Linked DNA regions of Drosophila melanogaster. The protein of the gene in region 1 interacts with the protein of each later gene in a pairwise test. Each region holds a gene or a part of one and is shown on either strand. Other genes may lie near its edges.

The links.
Region 2: the proteins of CG15365 (region 1) and Obsc interact in a two-hybrid assay, tested with the Drosophila melanogaster proteins (one large-scale study listed by BioGRID).

What each region holds. Positions count from the first base shown.
Region 1 is NC_004354.4:9,066,323-9,070,082, forward strand, and holds the start of CG15365 (uncharacterized protein), read right to left. Parts: upstream 1,662-3,760; 5' UTR 1,186-1,661; intron 1-1,185. Other genes in the region: CG10970 (uncharacterized protein), read right to left, coding at 3,432-3,743.
Region 2 is NT_033778.4:24,012,284-24,016,043, forward strand, and holds the start of Obsc (obscurin), read right to left. Parts: upstream 1,972-3,760; 5' UTR 1,579-1,971; coding exon 1,570-1,578; intron 756-1,569; coding exon of another isoform or gene 753-755; coding exon 631-752; intron 573-630; coding exon 441-572; intron 377-440; coding exon 206-376; intron 151-205; coding exon 1-150. Other genes in the region: CG4324 (uncharacterized protein), read right to left, coding at 2,690-2,975, 3,038-3,432, 3,485-3,556, 3,619-3,744. UniProt on the Drosophila melanogaster protein: Structural component of the muscle M line which is involved in assembly and organization of sarcomere.

The sequences.
Region 1 (3,760 bases):
TGCTCTCAACCCAAAAGCAGATTGCACAGTGAACAAAAAATCAGGTCTTTGTCAAATATATTATAGAATATTATTCTAAATAAGTAGTATTTCACTTACAAAAACATATTATATTGCCTTCTGTTTACTGCATTCACTAAGGATATTCATAAACTTTATATATGAGTATATTTAAAATAAAGATCGTTTTTTAAGAGGTATCTAGGGGATTGTTAGTGATCTATGTATTTCACTTGCATATTTATTAGAACCACTTTATTTTTCTGCACTTGACATTTCAACATAAAATCGCTGAATTCCGTCGGAACGAATTAGAGATTTTCCAGGTAAAATAAAGCGATTTAAGGCCAAGTGCAACTGGCCAACCCAACCCAGTAAGCAACTCGGCCACTTCGGCGACCATTATCCATTATCCATTATCCATTATCCATTATCCATTCCCCCCGGGTAGAACCCGCAGTTTCGGATAGGTCAAGTATATGCGGCACTTTATGGGCTTTACGAGTGTAAAAAAAAAGCAAAAAAGCAAAAGATTGAGAAGAGAAAAGAGCTCAAAGACAGATACTTGCTTATTTCTAGAGGCTGACCAGAGCATCTTTTTCATCTTTTTTTTTCATATATATATATATATATATGTATATATATCTACTTTTTTCACCAGTTTCGTATATATTTTCGCTGTAGTTTTTGTTTTTTGCCTGTGGGGCCAACAGGTTCGCTGGCAGTTGGGAAAAAGTCAAACGGCTCAATAATCGAAGACGACGGCTCAGAGTTTTTGAGTCCGCGACTCCGAACTTCAGCTCTTTGAGTCCAGATAAATGAGGACAACAACAACAGCGACAACTTTAAAGAGGTTGTGCGTGTGCCTGTGTGTGTGTGAGCCAGCTGGGATAGGCACACTGTGCGAAAAGAGCATGTACTACTTTGTTCTAATCAAGCTAGGCAGGTCGAATTCAAATTGATTTTAGCACGTTTTCAATTTCAAATGCCACATAATAAATATATTATTATGTTTAAATCTTACAATTTTCAACATATTCTATTATTTTCTGTGTACTCCATTCGAATTAAAAAAATCAGCGAAACCAAAATAAACGAAAAATCAGACAGCAACAAGAAAAAAAAAATACGAAAATATTTTAAGCCCAACGAAAGAATAACAAATGAATGGAAATATTTGCTCACCTCTTCCTTTGGTTTTTAGTGCCTTGTAATCGCTGTTGTTGACTCTTCAAATGTGTGTGTTTTTATATTTTGTAAATTTTCTTGGTTTTTTTTTTTTTTTTGATATTTGTTTATTGCTTGCCCGCTTGATGTGGCTGCATTATATTTCAGCTGTTGCCGCTGAAAGCCAACGGAAAGCAGGCAAGTTTTCAAATTTGCACAATGAAATTGATTTTACAACGCGTAAAATTCCACAAATTATGCACGAAATGCGTTTTGAATTGCACTCAGCCACCACACTCGAAAAAAAGGCTGCCATTCACCGCTCGCCGCGAAGCGTAGCCCAAACCCCCCCAAAAAAAAAAAAGAAAAACTAAAAAAAAAAAACCGTTGCACGCCTGCGCTTTTCAAAAATCTTCCCAGTTCGCTTCGAAACTTTCATCCGCAACGTTGGCCCTCCGTCGACGACTTTCGCGTTCCAGCGCTCAAAGCAAACTGAGCTGCAGAGCGTCGGAATTGGAAGCAGCGAACGGCGACTGCGACGCGACTGCGGCGCGCCGGCGATCAGAGATGAGAGCTTAGCTTTTTTCAAAAGCTTATAAAAAAAAGAGTCATCTTCGAAATGACATTCTCATTCGATTGCAAACGTTTATGTGTACGAATTACTTGAAAATTGAAGAATATAACTTGTACTTTAGAGATTCATGCAGTTATTTAACTTGTTGGCTAAGGATTCAATCACTTTCATAAGCATATTTTCCAAAAGATCAATGTATTGTGTACTAAATGTAGTAGCTGTTTCTCATACTCTTTACTTTTTATAACTTATAATTATACTAATTATGCTTCTATTGGTGTTATGACGTACAGTCAGCACTGATTGCTTGCGAATCGGATTGGCAATCATTGTCGCCGTTCTTTCCGGTTTGCTGGCGTTGCCACAGCGCTGCAATTAAGCGGCTAATTCTGATTTTGGATACCGATTCGGATCCAGACTTGGGATTCAAACATATGTATAAACATATATGTTCGCGGCAACCGCATTAGTCCAAGTCGCAGTCGCCGCCTAGGTTAATTTCCCTCAATTTTGTGGCTTTTCGCATATAGGTTCATTGCTTACATTCATAGATACACAGCGAGAAAATTGTATTACTTACAGATAATTCTTTAAAATATTTAATAGTATTTGATATTTAATAGTATAGTATTTAAAATTTAATAGTATTTAATATTTGGTTAGTTTCTTCACTGGAATATATTTGAACCTTAAGATTTCTCAGGAGGAAGGATTTTTATACCAAGGATTTTTTAATTTCCTCTGTGTAAAACACACTTGGCTACCTGTTGCACACACACACACACACACAAATTCTAGTAATGGCCGTCCGCAAATTGACCCATAAAATTGTAACGTTGCTTGAGCCAAGATAGTTTAGCTGTCCATATATCACTGCAGATACACGACACTGGCCTACAAAAGAACACTTTGATAATTCCCCCCGATGTGCAGTGTTGAGATGGTAACGTTTTGTGCTTAGCCGACTAAGATGATCTTCTTAATATAGAAAAACTAAACTTCAAATCTACCACTTCTCACTGGCCTGTTAACCAGTGCTATTTGGTTGAGAAGTCTGGAACTCAGTGAATCGGCAGTTGTATCCGCGAACGCATAAATAACCATCCGTGGCTATATGTTCGCTGTTGTCCAGTGGTACACCTTCATCGTGTCGATCGAGGTGGCGATCAGATTCTTCGATTTGCATGCCAAACAGCCGGGAACATCGCTAGCTTACTACGAGTATATGCATCCGAGGCATGCGATTCGATTTGATATCCGATCGCCGGCGGCGATGGCCACAAGGTTATCCCCTCCCACGGATCATGGACATCATTAGCTCATTCGTCACGATCGCAATGGGTCCTAGAACCAACGATGGAGTACTCGTAAGTGAGAATCCATGGGTCATTTGGAGAATTGCCCAGATCCAGCAATCGCAACAATAATCATTCAATCCACAATGAGCCCATGAAAAGTTTGGCATTTTCATACAGGTTCTTCTCTTTGGGAAATTGCTTGTTGTATAAATCAGCTCTTTAGGAAACTCTTTTGAATTTGTGATTATATAACTGTGTAATTTTTATTTGGAAAATACCTTGTTATATCCATACAACAAAAATATTAGACAAATCATAATGGATAAAACTTTTGATAGCCGTTTTAAACAAAATTATGCATTGGAAATATTTTATTTTGTTTGATCCTTTAATCACTTTAGGTTCACCTTGATTTCGAAGGTCTTGTAGGTGTATTCCTGGATGACTTTCAGATTCTTAATAATGAACTCCTTGATGGCCTGCACGTAATCGGCGGCGGCCAGGATGAGCTTCTTAAAGGCATCGATCACCTTGCCCTCGCCCTCCAGACGACCCTTGAACTTCTCCTCCGACACCTGGGCAATGAATCCCCGCAGTCCCAGTGCATTGGCCTGGACCAGTGCAAACAGCTCGAAAGCATCCTTGGGCACCCTGCCACGCACCTCAAAGTCACAGCACAAGATCTCCTCCTTTTGGCCTGCCATCTCGAGTAAGATTGAAT
Region 2 (3,760 bases), on another chromosome or scaffold:
GCATCGGGACTGGAGCCCAGGTAGTCCTGGGCCAATGGTTCGTTCTGGCAGTACACCACATGCTTGTCGAAGTCCCGCTCCAGGCGCAGGAAGGTCTTGGCCACCATATTCGGCTGGTTGCTGTAGCACTTGAGGCCCTCCTTCAGCACGCTGAAAATCCAAGTGTTAACTTCGTGTACTCCAGTTCACCCCATTCGCTTCTTACTTGTTGTGAAACTCGGCGATTTGCAGGAAATTGCAGAATATGATATCCTTGTTGTCCCGCACGGAGCGCGGCACCACCGGCTTGTCGATGCCCTTGATGTACTTCTCCACCACGTGGAGCAGATCCCTGGAGAACTCCTCCTCAGTTTCCACCAGCTCCCTGAGAATGGTTCTACAACGGCCATTACAACTAGTATCTATCTGTCCAACTGGATGGAGTGAGTTGAAGTCCTTACAGTTTCCTAAACTCCGCATCGCCGCTCTCCTTGCCATTCGAACTGCTCATGGTGGGATTGAACTCTAGTATATCGATGGGCACCCAGCCTTCCTTGGGGGAGTCCCCGCTATCGAACATTCGCACAAAGCATCTGGAAAACTCACTGCACTAGAGTACCATACCACTTCTCGATGAACTCAATCGCTCACCTTGACTTTTCGGATGCCTTCGAACTTATCAGTTCGACCAGATCCCCGCGAGAAACGCTGATCTCGTCCGTGGCCAGCGACTGAGCCTGGTAGTCCCGACTCACAAACACGATATCCGCCACCTGCTGGGTAGAACCGATATCTTAAGTACGAACTTTCTTTTCTATAGCTACTCTCTTGGTTCACACACACATTTCTATCACCCATTTCGATACTTCAACACAAAAATATATGTACATATATCCCAAATAGATCGTTATAGATCTGTGAGTTTTTTTAGGGTTTATGCAATTGGTGCGATATCGATTTGATCTTTTGACGCGTTCGACTTCGCTATTTCACAAACAAAAGTGGCTGAGCAATATTTAGCCCGCTAGCTGAAAGTCTATTTTGCGTTGACATAGACACGCGGGCTCGGCTATTTATTCCGATGTCCAATTTTACTGAGTGCAAAGCTTGTGCAGCCGAATCAGCTGATCCCCCGATTTGTTCCCTCGAACAGGGCTCTTCACTTCGGGCCAATGATCCGAGACCACAGTGGAACCACAGTGGAACCACAAGATGGATCCTAACCCACTTCGCGTCAGAGGTGGCTTTCACTTTCGAGAGGAAAATATCTGTGCACCGAGTATAAGATACTATTAGGGTCCTTCGGTTTTAAGGTCACTAGTATCATCATCTTGAAGCACTCAAACTAAACTAAATAAAATTGCACTTTTATTCGTCACTAGCTGGTTAACCAGTTTACATTCACATTTTGCAGTTGGAAAAAACCATTGACTAAGTGCTATTTCCTAGCAAGGACGTCCACTGTAGCTTTTGCTCACACAATGTATGTACATATGTACATCTGGTTTGCCCAGAAGTATTAATAAGTAAATTTGGCACATGTTCATAGAGACCGATCTATAGTGTATTTTCCGGACACGCATAACTTACGGCATCCATTCCGGCTGATTTGAATATTAAGACTTTGTATCACTCGATTAACTCGACTTCACACACTTGATTAACTCACGCACATTGGCACGAATTCGAAAATGTATTGCATAACTTATTACTGGGGCGATTTCGTTTCGAATTTTCAATGCACTGGATTTGCACTGGATTTAAGGCATTATCGGCATTAGCCCAGTATCGAAAACTACGAAGACTAGTCTACGGGGCACTCTCGAGTTCGCTTGTCATAACTGAAAAAGTCGAGGAATTTTCCGCCTTTCCGCGGGCCAGGCCGATTCAAAAGTGGAATAGATTTAAATTTAAACTGCGGTCGCGTGAGAAATATTGGCTACTGCGTGCGGATACCAATGATTCTAACTGCATCCCGACAACTGTACGACTGATCGATATTCGCCGATCACAACAAAAGCTCCCCTCGAACATCGTTTCACAATTTAAAAATAATGCCCATGCCCATGCACCTCGCACTCGCCATCCGCATCCCCATCAGTATCTGCAAATGCATTTGCATTTGCATCTGCATTTGCATCTGCATCTGCATCTGCATGTGCATAGCCATGTGCTTAGATGCCGAACAGAGCGGACGGTCTGAAAGTTTATGGCTGTCAGAGGAGTGCATATAGATTTCGGCACCCAGAGTGCGCCAGCATACATATTTAATTAAGTATTATAATATATGCGCGGGCACGAAGTTATTTATACGATCCCATACGTTATTCGCAATGTTTATGGTCAGAAATATTGGCTTGTTTAATTAATTTGCAACTGCACTTCCTCCTGTCACCTGTCAGCAATGTAATCATAAATAAGAGGAAATTGGCCTACAAAGTTGAGATTAGTCACCAATTAGACCAACACAAACGGGTAGTTAGTAGTAACACCTCCTTCAACTGAGTATTTATGCCAATGCTAGACTAGAGCTTTCCCTTTAGGAGCTTTGTTACTTGTTAGAAGCATCTTAATCTATTCTAGACTTTTTAGATTACTACTAGCCCGCTAAGCCTAAAACTAGGCAATCCGAATGAAACATTCACACAGCTTCTAGGGACTAATGGGTTTAATAGTAGTTATAGATAATAAGTTATGGTAATCAGTGCACTCAGTGGTAGCCAACAGTTTCCCTGGGCAGAAAGACGCAGGCTATGGAGGCCAGCAGGCCCACGATTGCGTACGTGGACATGGCCTGAATTCTGGACGAGTCCATCAGCACCTGCGCCACGAAAGGGGTCAGCATGGCGCCGAGTCTGGCCAGCACGGAACAGCCCGAAACTCCGACGGATCTCAAGGCAGCTGGGTATATTTCCGGAGTGTACACATAAATGGCCTGGAAGATGCCGGATATCGTGCCGCGTGCAATGAAGAGGGTTACGGAAGTGGAGAAGCGACTAGGATTGGAGGAGGATTGGATTGATTATCAGATGATCAATTGAGTGTGCACCACTACTACCTTTCCACCGACATCAGCACCAGAGTGCACAGAACCAGCGCCAGGTACTGCAGAACAATGGTTTTCTTCTTGCCAAACAGCTTGACCACCTTGATGGTCAGCAGTATTCCAGGAAACTCGGACAGGGTGATCCACAGCAGGTCCATAAAGTCGGAGGTCATGAAGGTGACGCACTCATTGGGATGGCTCTCCTTGTTCCTGGCCACCAGCAGCTCGGTCGTGACCAGCACCAGGCCGTAGTAGCAAAAGGCCGAGGCCAGCCAGAGGAACCACAACAGGATGGTGGTCCTGTACAGGCTCGGGCTGAGCAGGGATCTAAAGCTCTCCGCGCAACTGGGCTCGTCGTCGGCCATCAGCCGACCCATCAGCATGTGGCGCTTGTTGTTGTGAGCTATCTACAATCGTAGGTTTTTAGACGTATAATCACTCCATAAAGTTACCACTCACCTGTTCCAGAACCTTGATGGCCTTATCATTGTGACCGTTGTAAGAGTAATAGCGAGCCGATTCACTGAGCCACTGTAGTGATTTAAAGATACATTTGATTAAGGATATTTCTGAAGAGAGCGAGGAATACGAACCGGCGATAGGATGGTAAAAATGAGTAGGGGTGTAGCCGAAAGGGCCAAGAGACCTCGCCATCCGTAATAGGGATACACAACCAGTGCTAGGACCACTTCAAAGCAAGCTCCCAAGGCCCAGAAGCACTGAAACCAGTACAAT